Linked DNA regions of Arabidopsis thaliana. The protein of the gene in region 2 interacts with the protein of the main gene of each other region in a pairwise test. Each region holds a gene or a part of one and is shown on either strand. Other genes may lie near its edges.

Region 1 (6,726 bases), on a different chromosome or scaffold from region 2:
GCTGATGAAAAAAGGTAAAGTGGTTCGGGTATTGACTTCTGCTGGAAACCACGGTTTTAAATTGTCTATTTTGCGTTTCGTTGACAGTTTTTTGAACACCTTTTGGGTTTCCCCTTTTTGCGTTCTCCGACCCAAGTTGTCAGTTTCTTTGTTGTTTTGTATTGTAAGCCCTTTTGTTGCACTTGACAGATATGGAGTTAAAATCTTTGTTATTAGTACACTACTAGTTTCTGTTAGCTCTCTCTTATCCCATTCAACCAACGGTCCAATTTTCTAACAAAGGCAAAATAAAAGGGCAATGATGTGTGTTCTTAACCTGATCTTTTGTTCTAGCTTAGTTCATATTGCATATTGCAAGCTGTTTTCTTATATTCATACTATAATAGACTATTTTCACAATGTATATAACAAACATGAATTTTACTCCAGCCATTACATCTATTGATCATCACATACTCTTGTTTAGAGACTAACGGTTGAGACAAAGCCAGATTTGAACTGAGTTTGCTCTGCAGTCCTATAAGGTACTACCAGAACTAAATCATAACCTTTAAATCTTTATAATTCCATATTTCAAATGTAACAGTCATGAAAAAACTCTAGTTTGATCGAGCAAAAAGCCAAGTAAGTTCGAAAGCTTTAACTATCGTTCAATCTACTTCGACATAAATCCGGCTCTGTATCATGTAGGTATGAAGATACAAGTAGTGGAAATTTCAAAAGCAAAAGGTTCAGATAGAAGAAAAGTAAAACTTGTTTCATTATAGACAAAGTCAAGAGAACAAATACGCTTAAAGAGAGTTATGTTAACTAACATTTTTAGCTAACAGCCTAACATAGAAAGGTAAAACTCAGACAGGGAAAGCTCTAAAGAAGAAACCTGAAACTGGTTCTCTTAGCAACAGCATCTATGAGATCCATTCATCATAAGAAATCTGTTCACATTCGAATATCAGTCTTCTCGGGCTTTCCCTGCAATATCTAAAGATGAAAAAGAAAAAGACAATCCGAAACAGAGACATTGTATTCCATTTACATGGGGAAACTACTGTTGCGACATCTGATTTTACTACTACAAGCACCCCAGGTTAGGTGTAGCAGAGAATGCAGAACAGTTACACGATATCCATGTCCTAAGGCACAACAGGAATTTAGAGGCATAAAGAATGATAATATATGTGGGTGTAAACCTCTTTTTTTCAATGGTACAGTTTTAGGAGAAAGAAGACTCTCTCCATCATTTCTCTTCATTGGTGGTATTCTGTGACTAAGTGCATATAGATGATGAAGAAATAAGAATGTAACTTAAATGTAGTCAAGAAAAAGACCTAAAATTCGGTCTAAGGGATCTAACTCCGCATCTTTTTCCTCTGACTACCCTCTTCCATATCACCCTGAAAAAGCCATGATCGGGAAATCAAGAGGTCGTCACTGGATAAATGTCTAGCAGCGAAAATGAAAATGGATTCAACTAGACACAAATGAAGCTAATGAAAATGCATGGAATGGCTTACCCCATTGGACTCTGGCCTGCACTTTGCATGCACTATAGGACCTAACTGAGACTTGTCCATATCTGTTGTTGATTCTTCAGGAGCATTCATGTATACCGCACCTTTGTACATCCATTCCTCGGTTTCATCACTATAAAAGTCTTCAAATGGCTCACCACATAATGCACATGAAGTTTGGTCTTCATCTGCAGGAACTGCCATATCTTCGTCATCCTTCTTTTCTGTTGTTGGCTCCGTGGGCAAGAACCCTGGTACTGCTTCAGCTCCAAGTGCTTCTGCACCACTGAGCCACATGCTAGCACTTACAAACCATTTCCGAGAAGGGTTCTGCTTATGGTTCTTGGACATCCTGTTCTTGGTTACATGCCAATCCATGTGCTTACTGTGCTCTTCTTGGCACTTGAAGCGTAGACCACAGGTTGTGCATTGCCTCGGGAGATCCCCATATAAAGCACTGATTGCAGACTCATTACGTATCTTGAGCATGTCTGCATCAAACTCCAACCCCAATGGTCCCTGAATATATAAACCAACAATTCAAGATAAAGCAATAACTAAGAACAAACCGACTCTCAAGGACATGATTTGAATAATTACCTGACCAGCAGGCTGATTGTTCAATGAGATCAAACCTTGAGCCATGAGAGAGCCAATCAGACCAGAGAATGCGCCACCTGGTGGTTGATTAGAGGCTCCTATCTGAGATAAAACTCCTGAAGAAAGAGGATGCATGGCTTCCCCACCTTGGATTGATAAAGATGGTCTAATGGTTGACCCATGTGGAGGGTACCCATGACTTACGTGGGTTAACAACGATTGCATTGGCCTTGGAGCCATAGCAGATGAGGATGGCAAATAATTAACTAGCATCTGATTCTGTTGAGTCATATCATTAAGATGACTCTGAGAGACCTGGTTTTCGGGCCTATATAAAGGCTTACCTTGCAAGCGATTTGACATCGCATTACCGGGATTTGCCAAATGATGCAAATGAGCAGAAGGTACAGGGAGAGAGTTGGGTCCTCTAGCACTCAAATGGGGCCATGTCCCATCAGGAAGAGCCCGGCCAAAACGTGAGTTAACATCTTGAATGCTATCAAATGGAGGAGCCCCGAATTCACTGTTTGATGAAACTAACCCTACAGATGAAGCCAATACTTTCAAGTCTTTTCCTGCTCTTGTATCAACACGGTTGGATGTATGTGGATAATTTTGTGACAAACTCCAATTTTCTCGTAGCTGATGACTTACACCATTCTTAATGTCAGAATCTAAATGAAAATCACTTGTGTTTCCTACTCTGGGTCTTGCCCTTACACTTCCTAATGCTGGTACAGATGATCGCAAAAATTCACCAGCTCTGCTACGATCTAGGGTAGGGCTCATATCTTCCCAATCAAACTCTTCTTCCTCAGTGTTCTGCCATGGTGTAACCATCTTACTGTGCATGCCATTCATATCGCGAATTGGTTTATTGATCGTTACGTGTTTGCTGGTGTCAACTCCATATGCATCTATCAACGCTCTAGGTCTTTCGTGATCATTTCCTTGGCCTAAGTTTTCCTTTCTTCGCCATTCCATATGTTCATCATCTCTGCTAGTAGCTCGACCCATTCCATAGTTAAAAGCTTGATTAGAAGGATTAGCTCCATCATTAGACCTCCTGGTAAAACCATCTGGTGTACTAGACAGTGAAGATGGGCTCTCTAACTGATCTTCGAAATCATTATACCCACCGAGTGAATTTTGGCCATAAACTCTTGCACTGGAATTAATTCCTCTCAAATTCTGCATGTCAAGCAAGAGCAATTAAGGAAATATGCATCTCAGGTATAGTCACTCTTTGAAAAAAAACATATAAAAACAGTTCCAAACGACACATGATGCATAAACAGTGATCTACTGTACTATAACCAAAAAAAAACCCTCTACATGTGCTAACAAGATCATTTCTAATGTACCAGAGTCCCAGTGACCTACTCATCATGTATAACTGAGAGAGGCCATAACAACAACTCCCTTCCAGTCAAGATTGATTACTTGAAGAATGTAAACATCTATCTCGTCTAACTAACAAAACTTTAAAGAAATACAATGGATAAGACCACTATGAGGCCAAACTAATCTAATACCCGTTTTACTTAGTACACTTATATAAAATTAACACACCATAGCTTCAAGGTTGCAGATGCACCTAAAAAAAGAATGTCATCTCTGTTCATAATGACAAAGAGAAAGGCTTACATTTTCGGCGGCTGAGGGCTCCAGCCTGCGAAGATATTTTGGATTAACATGTATACCTCTCGTTGGTTGACTAGGCTCAGAAGCCCCTACGGAAGATTGGTTTGCTGCAGATGAAAGTTGCAATTGCATATCAATCTTGCGTAGTACAGGTGGTGGAAAAACACTCGACCAAGTCCCAAACAGGTGACGCATTGACGGATGTAAACTCGGATGTGCTTGCCTATATGCAAGGCAGAAGACCTAAAGCAGAATAGGATCAAAACAGCTCATGGGTATGCTTCAGCCCTATTCAAATCATTTAAGTAAACATCTTCTTGTAGACTGCTCACCTCGGGTAGACGGGATGAGAAATAGCGACCATAATCCCGCCCAATGTTCTTAACAATGCTGTCTAAAAGATACAGAGATGGCAACTTTTGCTCAACAGGAGCCTGCATATATACACCCACAGGTAACTCAGAAGCAGCCATTTCACTAAACCACAAACCAAACACTAATCTCTGACAATCAAAAACCTAATTTTTTTCCCACTTCTACACTTACATACTATACAATAAGGCTAGAAAGTGGAAACAAATAAGAAGAAAGCAAACCTCAAGGATTCGAGTGCAAATAGCATTAGCGATTCCTTCACCATGTTCCCGTTGTTCACCAGCGATAATAGTGAGATCAGTGATAATAGGCTTAGAATTGAAAGTAAGCTCACCCAAAACAACCTCATAAAGCTGAACAATCTCATCCATACTCGGAGGCAAAACCTCTTCACCACCACCGAACTCATCTTCACGCTGATTAAGCAAAGCTTTAAACCGGTCTAACAACGACGGCGGTGGCGGCGGTTTCTGCGGCAACTCAACGGACATACCTTTGCGGCTGGTGCTATTAATCGAAACAAGTCTTGGATTGAGGATTTTCTCTGAGTCCATCCCCAATTCAATAGTGAAGAGTGATAATTAGTGGCAGCATAAAGGCTCTAGGGTTTCTGTTCCACCATGGAAACTCCTCGAATCGCCACCCTTGTGGGGGAAGAGAGAGATAGAGATCGATAACGGAAGTTTTTTTTTTTTTAGTGAAGAGGATTTTTTTTTCTTCTCAATTTTGTATCTCTACTTTATGCAAATCTCATTTTTGTCCCTTTTTTTTTAGAGTTATCAACTACATCCCAATTATTGTTTTTACCCGTTTTGAGTCACACAGATTTTTGACTTTTACTATGACCTCATCAATTAATCACGTTGCAATTCTCTTCTTTCCCTTATTTGAAAAGTTTGATCTTGCCTCTTGGTGACACTAAATTTAGTTTTGAGGAACTATTTCATTTCTTAGCTTATTTATCTATCTTGATAAAGTTTGAATCTATCTTGTTTTGATTCTACTCATGGACTATGAATGATTTTTTTTTTGGTAGACAATTAGATTTTATATTATTTTTGATTTTTGACAGAAATACAGAGATTAGCAAGAAGCGGATTAAAACAATCTACAAAAATAAATACAACATTACAACTCTAATTCATTCAGTTCGCTTTTATGCGTTCAAGGCTAAGTTACGAGTTGAAACACCGATTTTGAACTCGTGAAACTCGGAAATTTGTGTGGTTGTCACATGACCGAAAAAGTGGAATTCTCATGGTAGTTGCCACGAGCATATCTTCGAGAACTTGATTCAAATTGATACAGTTAAAAACACCACCATCAAACCACGTCCTTGTTACGTTTCTTTAAGTTATATTAAAAAAATGTTGGATTAGTTGTATAAAATCCTATAAGGGTTTGAGTTTATTATTACATAATTATAATTATATAGCTTCCTATTTTATAAGTTTAAATTTAATATTTGTTAGTTCCTTTGTTTTTACATTTTAAAATATAAAGTAATTGCTATTTTCAAAAATGTTAATTAATTAGATGCTAAATATGTTAATTATTGATGTGGCAGCTCCCGATTGGTTGTTTTCAAAAATGTTAATTAATTAGATACTAAATATGTTAATTATTTATGTGGCAACTCCCGATTAGTCGTTCTAAATCCTAGGTTATGAATCCACGCTACGCATGGGTCTATTTGTAAAACTTTTTAATATTTTTTTGTGTGAATAAAATTATTATAGAAATTTTTTAAAAGATATGTTTTTATATGTCTACTTGTTGTTAATATTATAAACTCTTTGAATTTTAAAATTACCATGACAATAGTTACAATTTAAATACAAAACTAAAAATAACTTTAATACAACTTTTAGGTTTACAACATTTATCAAAAGAACATTTTTTTGGCTCATGACTCTCTCTTTAGCTTTAGATATTTAGGATCACGACGTCTTTTTATGTATGAAATAAATTGTTTTATGGAAAATAACTTCGACGACTTTCTCATTTTGAAATCCGTAAATTTACTATTCTTTTTTGTTTATCTTCGCTGCATTAGTTAGTATAGCTCGTCTAAAAATAAGATATTATATAGAAGTATATTCATAAGCTTATCTATACTTTACTTTAACAACTCATATTTTCTCACATTCTTTTCAATATGTATATGAATTTCTGTCTTCACAATTTTTTTACAAAGAGCTATCACTCTCCCTATCTTTTTGCAAGCACTCGTTTTATTTGTTTCATTTTTTCTTACAGTGTCTCTTTCCATCCTCTTATGATTTTGTTTAAGCAATATGTGTCATACCTTCTAAACTTTTCACATGTTCCATATTTTTTCTTCGAAAATCTCTTTCTTCTCTAGTTAGTACTAGGGCGAAACCCGAACCAAATCGCGGGCTTTTTTTATTAAAAAATGTAATTTTGTTAAGTTGTATGTAGGTATTGAATGTTATTTGTCATGATTCATGATATATGTAGAACAAAAGAATTCATTAGAAAGTGATTAAGAGCTCAATGCATTTGTTAATTTTTTAAAGTAAGATCTATATAGCTTTTATAAGTTTTGGAAGCTAATTTTTTTGTATTACGAACA
Region 2 (5,342 bases):
ATGCTGACATCTATCTAGTTATTTTCCTTACAAGTCTAGAATCAAGCTTAAGCACATCGAAATTTACAGCAACGATTCAGATCTAACAACACCTAAAAGACGATAGTTCCACAGAATTTCGAAAACAACTCTGTAAAACGGCTCTAAATCGGAAACTAAAAAACGAAGGATAATACAATCGATGAAGCAAATTACCGGCGAACGATTCTCCAAGCGCAATGGATATTCCAGAACTCTCTGCACCTGACGACCCACCGGAGTAAAATGAATTTCACGTTTCCCCATATATGAGTGGGGAATATATGTAGAGAGGATTTAGAAAGAAGCTTCGGGAAAGTCGGACGCGATTGAATTTTAAAAATTCCATCACATTTTTCAGTTTGGCGTCCGGCCCAGCTTTATACGATTTTTCTTCTCACAAAAGGCCCAATTGTATTTCCCAGATTATTTGCATTTATCCAAATTACTAGTAGAATTCTCAAAAAAAAATAAACGATTCGAGCAAATGTGAAATTTGTGATAATAATATTCTCAAAGTTCTTTATGAAATTGGCCAATAACTGCAGACTCTTCATGGAACCAATTGCCTCTATAACTGATAGATTTCGTTAACAACCGTTTTGAAGAAACAATACATTCCGAAGTACTTTAAAAAGCAGAAGAAAATGATTCATTCAGAATACAAAAAACCTTCGTCCTGAATAGCGGGAAACTTGCAGTACATTTTTTAAGCGATATTTCTTCTCTACTGAGACGAACCAGTAGCTGTAGAAACATCAGGAGCTTGTTGAGAGGATCCCGAAGGTGCTCCAGACCCAGCAGGTGCAGAGTCGGGTGATATAGCAGAGACCGCGGTTGGAGACGGTGCAGGTCTTGATCCAGGACCAGGTTGCTGTGGGTACGGGTAAGCTGCTGGAGGCGGGGCATAGTGCTGCATAGGACTAGGTTGATGATGATGGTTAGGAGGATACTGCTGCTGGTAAGGCGATGGCATATATCCATATGGTGGTGGTGGGTATGACTGGTGTGGAGGCATCATGTAAGAAGAAGATGAAGCTCCGTTGTTCTCAGTGCTTGAACCACCAGCCTCTTGGGTTGAAATGACTGCACCCATTCTCTGTGGGTCCATTGATGGGTAATAAGGTTTGTCTTGGTTAGCTGGTGGTGGGTGCATATAGTACTGCTGCATTGGTGGGGGTTGATTGTGCTGCTGAGATATAACGGCTCGAGGTAGTAACCCACTATGAGCCACACCGCCCTGTTGGTTTGCACCATCTTGATCAGGTTTGGGTCTTCCCCATGTGAGTTTTAGCCTCTGACCGTTGATGACTAGCCTGTTGGAGAGCTCTTGCGCAGCCTTCTCTGCACCTTCACGGCTTGTGTATGTGACAAATGCACAGGCTTTATCGGCCAAGATTCTGATAGATTCAATTTCTCCATGAGCGTAGAATTGGTCTCGTATGTCCTGCTCGAGAATTCTCGAGTTAAGTCCACCGACGTAAAGGGTTTTGATGCTTTCATCGTCTGGCGATTCCAAAGTGCCCATCTCACCAGCTTTGCCAAGCAACTTCATAGCAACTGGATCATTAACACTGAAAACGTGTAAAAGAAAATGAGAAACAGTTAAAACAAACTCTTCAACAAGAATAAATGCAAAAGTACTAATACATTACAAAGAGAACTAAAACTGGAAACGACACTATGTAACAAGACTACATGAGAGCCAACATAGCATAGTTCAGTCCAAGAATTCACATATCAGAAGCTTTCAAATATCGAGTATATTATGAATGATCAAGGAGAAAATAGTACTATGGCAGAAACATATGAAATTTTACACTCCTTAGGGGAGGTATCGAAACAACCAATAAAGAACGGAACTAAACGTCAACAAAGTCAAACATACAGAAGAAAAAAGCTTACCCATAATAACGGTCTTTTATGTTTTGCTGGGATAGCTCTCCTGTTTCGGGCATCTCATGCCGGTATGGACATTCAGCACCTCTTGTACACTCACCCCTGATGAAGAAACTACAAACATGTGCTCGGTTCCTCTTATAGTACGGTGTTGTTCTTTGAAGCTTTAAAATAGTATCATTGGGTCGCATCTTCCCGAATGAAGATTCATAATCCAGTCCAGCTCTAGCCTACATAACAGAAAAAGCAAAATCACTTAGATAAGCCACCATGAGAAAGCTAGAGTAAGTCTTCAAAATTCTCAAACCAACAAATGCTGAAATAAAATCGTGAGTGTGAACATGATCATACCTTCCTGTCATGCTCTTCAGCAAAATACTCTCTGTTGACATCACTTTTAGGGATAGAGTCATGAGTACTAATGTTGAGTGCTGTGTCTCTTACTTGAACTGGAAGACCATACTCAAGATCCAGAAGACAGACTTGACAAACATTTTTCAACTTGCAGCAAGTCTGACAAATTTCGGTTTTCTTGTATCTAGCATCCCGGCCAGGTCGCCACCTAAACACCGTGAAAGGTCGTGTACATATCTTGCATTCCTTATCATAATTCGCTTTGGTCTACATATCAACAGATAAAACGTCAATCAGAAATCAAAACATCGAGATTTTCAGAAAACAAAATTGCAGCTGAAAGCTAAGAGAATCCGCAGCTGTAATCAAATCCAACTATAACTAAACGAATTTGGATGTAAAACCCAATTTTTCGATGAATTTGATAACAAGCTAAACCCTAAAACCATATTTACTAAGTTAACCACTCCAATATACAGAAAACATCAACGAGCAAGAGACTGGTTAAGAGATGAGATCCGGAAATAAGATTCAGGAGCCATTGAAACAAAACAAGCAATAGCAAAATCCAAGAATGTTTGAGAGAAGGAATCGAGAAATCACCATTCGCACGTAGGGGTTGTCACCGAGACAAGATTCGCAGATGATTGGGAAATCGGAGCGTTCCCATCCATCGGCTTCATGATCTCTCAGTATTCTGTGAGCCATTCTCTTATCCTCTGATTCGATTAGTCGATATCAAATCTCGAACACGAAGGAGACGACGAGATTTTAACTAGGGCAAAGTCGGTTTTGGATTCGCGTGTTTTTGTCTTTTAAATATTACAAATAAAACCCTAAACTTTCACTACAATTCGAAATGAACTTTTCTTCTTTTTATTAATACAAATTAACCCTCTAACTTTTATAATGACCAAAAATATCCATCCAATTCTTAAAACGATTGAGGCCGGCACTAGCGCATTGGCGGGAACCAAATAGCTTAGAATGGCGAAATCCCGCCAGAAAAGAAAAAGCTTATAAATCGGACTCCTTGACCTTATAGTGTCAATCCACTTTCCAAAATAGCCGCAAACGATTCTCATTGTGAACTCTGATAATATCTAAGACGACGAAATGTTGGAGCTACGTCTTGTTCAGGGCTCGTTGTTGAAGAAGGTTCTAGAATCAATCAAAGATCTGGTGAACGATGCGAATTTCGACTGCTCCAGCACTGGGTTCTCACTCCAAGCTATGGATTCGAGTCACGTTGCTCTGGTGTCTCTCTTGCTAAGATCCGAAGGCTTCGAACACTACAGATGCGACAGGAATCTCTCCATGGGGATGAATCTCGGCAACATGTCGAAGATGCTCAAATGCGCCGGAAATGATGACATCATCACCATCAAGGCTGATGACGGCGGCGACACCGTTACCTTCATGTTTGAGAGCCCCAGTAAGTTTATTTGCTAATTGACTGACTTACTCTAATTTCTGGTTTCTATGGGTTAAGCTTGTACGAAATGGTGGAATGATTGATGGAATAGAATGATTTAGTTCTCTTAGGGGTTGTATATAGTTTCAAGTTTCAAAAACTTGGTTTAGACCTAGCTGCTTTTAACTTGGTTTTGTGTTGGATGATTTACAGCGCAAGACAAGATTGCTGATTTTGAGATGAAGTTGATGGATATAGACAGTGAACATCTGGGAATACCTGATGCTGAGTACCACTCAATCGTGAGGATGCCTTCCAATGAGTTTTCCAGGATTTGCAAAGATCTCAGTAGCATTGGTGACACAGGTACATTGCTGCATTGTTTCTATTCTCAATCTGGGTTGTTTTTTTTAGTCTAAATAGAGATTGACCTGATGTTATTGTTGCAGTTGTGATCTCTGTGACTAAAGAAGGCGTGAAGTTTTCTACTGCCGGTGACATTGGAACCGCTAACATTGTGCTCAGGCAGAACACAACTGTAGACAAGGTATTAACATGTCTAACTCTTTGCATAAACCTATGATACTGTTGACAAATCCTCTACGGCTGTTTCATTGGAGTAACATGTTAAATTGAGGCTTTTGTTTTGTGTATTGCAGCCGGAAGATGCAATTGTGATAGAGATGAAGGAGCCAGTGTCTCTCTCATTTGCCCTGAGGTACATGAATTCCTTCACAAAGGCAACTCCATTGTCAGACACAGTGACAATCAGCTTATCGTCGGAGTTGCCAGTGGTTGTGGAGTATAAGGTTGCTGAGATGGGTTACATTCGTTACTACTTGGCTCCTAAGATTGAAGAAGAAGAAGACACTAATCCCTAAGACCCCTTTTATATCCACAATTTCTCTTCATTCTAAAATGTTGAAGATTTATTGACAATGTTGGTGTTTTTTTTTGGTGAGATTCCTTTGTATCCCCCCTCTAGAATCAGTTGTTTTCTTGACTTATTATGTTTTATGATAACAAAGTTCAGCAAAATTAGTTGTCTTGAAACTATGACCATTCATCAACAAACTAACTCCACTTTGCAAGATAATTTATACACTAACACAACCGTAGTTGCCTATACCTGGATACTTAAACTGTATGTGAACATTGACATGAAAAGGTATATTGGATTCCATTAGACTTCTCAACATCAGTTCTTTGACACCATTCTGTACTCTCTGGCTACATTTGTGTAGTACATGCAAGTGCACAAGACAGTGCATCAGGTAAACCTAGTATAATACAAGTTTACTATGTATCTACTTTGGTTTCTACTTGTTTATGTTACAACGAAAGCACTAGAAGAGCCTGTGAAATGATGGACTGACCCAAAAAGCTTCTTTGCAGCACCAAAATGGGTGATCCTATAAACCCCTGGTGATGCAGACTCGGGAATTCTCCATTCCACAGTGGCCTGACTCCGGGAGCTCAGCTTTTTATGCCTCGACCACTTGAACCTCAGACATAGATCATCGTCGTCATAAACCGGGGTCCAAGTCTTGTCCTTCTGCTCTAGTCTCTCCACCAGTGTAAACGTCCCTGTCATGAACATAGTATCTCTTCTTAGCATCAAAGTATGACAAGTCACTTATTTTGAAAGGATCCATCA
Region 3 (4,730 bases), on a different chromosome or scaffold from region 2:
AATTTTCTTAACGTAAATTTTAAAATCATTTGGCTAATTAACTAGTATATCAGATAAACTTACACATTTTCTAATGGAAATTAAATATTCTTAGTAACGCATAGTCATACTTGCGCGTTCTTCTTAATTAGTCTTTCAGAAAAAGTGTCAATATATCTTCTGGAATATTTAATATATAGTCGTATATATGACTATCGAATCTCAGAAATGTGGCTATCAATCTATCTATATGTGTATATATATATAAACGTGTTTGTAATTTTGATAAAGATCTGAAACTCAAGTGGAAGAAACTGAATTGTATACGTCTCGAAATGGCATGCGTACCCACGGTACTGTATATGTGTAGATCATTATTTGAATATCCACGTCAACCGAAATTAATGATTTGGTGTTCTATTTGCAATATTCACGTAAGCTCACGTAATTCATACGTTTTTGTTTGTCTTGCTAACTTTAGCTTCATCTCATTTATATACGCTGATATTGATTGCTATTTATCAAATATGGAGAAATGTGTTTAACTTTTAACATGATTTTTAGGATATTATTGTCGTTGATATATATATCCTTCACATCATTAATTATTATTATGGATGTGAAAATACTATAGAAAAGCTATTAAAACCCCAATCTTTGTTCATGAGACAACAAAATTCTGGAGTCGGTGAAGTAGACATGACTTAATGGATTCTAAGTTTGTCCGATTTCTCCTTTGTTCCCATGTGATGTCTTAAGATAAAATGATCATCATCACACTTTCTTTTTCTCTTACTCCTTTGTTTCGATTCATAAGGATATATTGCTTTCGTCCACTTCTAATATTCTTATATCACTTTATTTAAAAGACAATGTACAATTTAATAAAATTAATAATTTGATGAATGTTATTGATTCATATAGATATTTAAAATGTATTTGAAAAAGGGGTACAAATCTTATTGTGAATGGATAATTAATTAAGTTGCATACTTCAAAAGACAATCATGTGGATACTTTTTTATTATTAGTTTTATGGATTTGAAATTCTGAAAAATACTCGTCTCAATTATTCTTAGAACATTAAGTTTGACCTAAAAGAATGGTTTGACTAGTAATATGGGAATTATATAGGTGCCCCTTTTCACAGATGATGCATCCGAATAACAAAATCATATTACTTCTTATATCCTACCGTCCATATTAATTATATTAGATTACACATTTAAATATAATATATACATCATTAGATCTAATATAGAAAATCTTATTAAAAAAAAATCCTTATATAAAGAAAAATCACAAGGTTAACACAACCTTATCGATAAATAAAGATGTTAAAACTGATTTTTATATATGAAGCAAAAGTAAATTAGGGCTTAGTGATGTCTAGTTAAAGTACTTGTGTTTTGAAAAGGTAATGAGTCATGACTCAACAAGGTACACAAGGCGTGCATCGGGTAAACCACAACCTTTTGTAATTGTCGATATAACAGCATGCCAATATTCACATGGACCATATACTGTGTGTATATTATATATTACCATATATGTGAGTTACATTTCATATTGTAGAACCAAGGACTAAATTTAAACATAATGTACCATATTCTTTTAATTAGATTATTCATAAGATATCCAATTTAAAAGATGAGTTAAAATGATCAAGAAAACGCTACGCTGAACTCTAAAGTCTAATCTTTATCATTTATAGAAGTGTTATGAAACAAATCAATACCTGGTTAATAATTGATGTAGTTTCATTTTTTTTTTTAAGAAAAGAAAGTGATGAAGTGTTTAACTAGTCATAATATTATAGATCCAACTTCATTTCAATATATCACGAGTGCATTGGCGGCTGCAAAACATATTTTTGAAAAGAGCAAAAAAAAAAATCAAGGATCATAAATAATATAGGTCTTGGCTTTTTAATTCTACCAATAGATTTACAGTGGACAATTAAAGAAAAAAAATCACGAAATTATCATGGTTTGGCTAATTGAGATAAAATTCATACGTTTTCCATCAATAATCGTACATCATCCATTTCACAACAATAATTATTCCTAAAATGTCGTTATTTTCATAACATTGGTTAGATGTTCTAATAAGCTACTATTATATATAACTTCACGTCAATGTATGTTTGATTTTGGCATCTAAAATTTCTGTAAAATTTAGATATTCGCGTATACTTTTTTTGGGATTTTCTTCTTAGCCGTATTATAACTGCAACTCATATCACATACGTGGATGATAAAATATTCGAGTTTAATATCTCCTCCGTATGTAGATTTGATATGATCCATAATATTAAAGATGAAAATGAACTTGACTGATTATTCAGCGCATTCATTTTATTTTCCCTTCGAGGATAGCGAAATCCGCCACGTGGCATTACTACATCCATTGCTTTTTTTAACATAAATACTTAAGTCGCAATTCTTCTAAATTTTGGAGGCTTATGATATTGGTAGGGTTCTCATATTCACTTCCAAAAGCATCTTCTTCTTTCTAATTTTCTTTTTCTTTTTATCTTATTTTCATTTTATTCATATACTTTTTGAAAAGAAAAGTCGAATCACATACTTTCTTCTCTCTATTTCTCATTCTCTCTTCTTCATCATATTACTCATTTTATAGAACAGCAAAACCCTAGATTTCCTGTTCAAGCTCAAGACCGTACAAAACTTTGGAACTCATGTAAGAAACAGTACACGTTTTTTTTTTTGTTTCTTCTTCAGTCCGGATTATAAGAATTTTGTCGATTGAAGAAAACAGGCTAAATTAAACCCTAATTTTCTCTCTTAGACAATTCCTACTTTCTCTCCATTTTTCTGGATTCGCTCTCGTTTTAAAAGGATTCAGAAATTAACTATATTATTTGAATTCTTTTGCCATAATTCCCTTATGTTTTCTGCTAATGGATATACATTTGGTCTTCTTTCTGTATTAGATATAAAGATCTCGAGAATAGCATTATGAATATCGTCTCTTGGAAAGATGCAAACGACGAAGTTGCAGGCGGCGCTACGACAAGACGTGAAAGAGAAGTAAAAGAGGATCAAGAAGAAACCGAAGTCAGAGCCACCAGTGGCAAAACCGTAATTAAAAAGCAGCCTACATCGATCTCTTCTTCTTCTTCTTCGTGGATGAAATCCAAGGATCCGAGGATTGTTAGGGTTTCACGCGCCTTTGGAGGCAAAGACCGTCACAGCAAAGTGTGTACGTTACGTGGACTACGTGACAGACGCGTGAGATTATCAGTCCCAACGGCTATTCAGCTCTACGATCTTCAAGAACGGCTCGGTGTTGACCAGCCTAGCAAAGCCGTTGACTGGTTGCTTGATGCAGCTAAAGAGGAGATCGACGAGCTACCTCCGTTACCTATCTCGCCGGAAAATTTCAGCATCTTCAACCATCATCAGTCCTTCTTGAATCTTGGTCAACGGCCCGGTCAAGATCCGACCCAACTCGGGTTTAAAATCAATGGATGTGTACAAAAGTCTACTACTACTAGCCGCGAAGAAAACGATAGAGAGAAAGGAGAAAACGATGTCGTTTACACAAACAATCATCATGTTGGGTCTTATGGAACTTATCACAACCTGGAACATCATCATCATCATCACCAACATTTGAGTTTACAGGCAGATTATCATAGTCATCAACTACATAGTCTTGTCCCATTTCCATCACAAATTTTGGTATGTCCAATGACGACATCACCAACAACTACAACTATACAATCTTTGTTTCCATCATCATCGTCAGCTGGTTCAGGGACTATGGAGACATTAGATCCGAGGCAAATGGTAAGCCATTTTCAAATGCCATTAATGGGTAATTCTTCATCTTCGTCTTCCCAAAACATTTCGACATTATATTCGTTGTTACATGGTAGTAGTAGCAACAATGGTGGTAGAGACATTGATAATCGGATGTCGTCGGTCCAATTCAACCGAACTAATAGCACTACAACGGCTAACATGTCGAGGCATCTAGGCTCGGAGCGTTGTACAAGTAGAGGAAGTGATCACCATATGTGAAGTTAGATTATTGAAACGATATAATTGTTGTTTGATGTGTTCAGAAATAAGGGGACACAAAACAAAATATAAGGTAATTACTATTGTACTATGTTTTGCTGATATATTTTTTAATAGACAAATTAATGTTATAAATTGATTTATTAATTTACTATTAGCATGTGTTTTGAAACTTTCTCATGTATATATATATATATAGCTTCCTCATAGGATCTGAATACACACAAACATACATGAAATGTATTATAAGTATCTGATAGTAATGTATGCACTTTGAGATGAGAAGCTAAATTACATTCAGATTCATCAAATATTTAGCAAAAAAAAAAATCAGATTCATCAATAGGTAACGTAATAATATGAAATTGAATCTAATAATTTATACTGATCTGTTATCGAGGTATTATGTTTCTATTGGATGCACGGTACAATGCAACTATAGAACTCAATGTGACCGTAGCTAGATAGATTATTAGATGATGATATAAGTGGAGATTCCACAAAACCCAAACAAACCTAACATTACTATGTCATGTGAAGCAGATATATATTGAACCCATTATCAAATAGAAATTCATCATGAATGGTTATTATACATACAAGTGCCCATTTTAAAATCTTATTAGCATAGTAAGTAAACTATCAAGATGCAAAGAAGCCATTCCCATATAAAAATTAAGATGTGTAGCTAGGCTAAATGGT

The links.
Region 1: the proteins of MAC5A (region 2) and PCFS4 interact in binary tests that used the Arabidopsis thaliana proteins (3 or more experiments, as listed by UniProt).
Region 3: the proteins of MAC5A (region 2) and PTF1 interact in binary tests that used the Arabidopsis thaliana proteins (3 or more experiments, as listed by UniProt).

What each region holds. Positions count from the first base shown.
Region 1 is NC_003075.7:2,470,041-2,476,766, reverse strand, and holds PCFS4 (PCF11P-similar protein 4), read right to left. Parts: upstream 4,902-6,726; 5' UTR 4,685-4,901; coding exon 4,352-4,684; intron 4,190-4,351; coding exon 4,088-4,189; intron 3,999-4,087; coding exon 3,759-3,998; intron 3,303-3,758; coding exon 2,112-3,302; intron 2,031-2,111; coding exon 1,515-2,030; intron 1,395-1,514; coding exon 1,350-1,394; 3' UTR 742-1,349; downstream 1-741.
Region 2 is NC_003070.9:2,259,817-2,265,158, forward strand, and holds MAC5A (CCCH-type zinc fingerfamily protein with RNA-binding domain-containing protein), read right to left. Parts: upstream 3,108-5,342; 5' UTR 2,980-3,107; coding exon 2,875-2,979; intron 2,539-2,874; coding exon 2,269-2,538; intron 2,148-2,268; coding exon 1,924-2,147; intron 1,593-1,923; coding exon 746-1,592; 3' UTR 501-745; downstream 1-500. Other genes in the region: SR45a (RNA-binding (RRM/RBD/RNP motifs) family protein), read right to left, coding at 196-285; PCNA1 (proliferating cellular nuclear antigen 1), read left to right, coding at 3,388-3,706, 3,899-4,051, 4,135-4,232, 4,345-4,566; AT1G07380 (Neutral/alkaline non-lysosomal ceramidase), read right to left, coding at 5,013-5,272.
Region 3 is NC_003074.8:388,562-393,291, forward strand, and holds PTF1 (plastid transcription factor 1), read left to right. Parts: upstream 1-2,158; 5' UTR 2,159-2,682; intron 2,683-2,935; 5' UTR 2,936-2,960; coding exon 2,961-4,028; 3' UTR 4,029-4,206; downstream 4,207-4,730. UniProt on the Arabidopsis thaliana protein: Plays a pivotal role in the control of morphogenesis of shoot organs by negatively regulating the expression of boundary-specific genes such as CUC genes, probably through the induction of miRNA (e.g. miR164).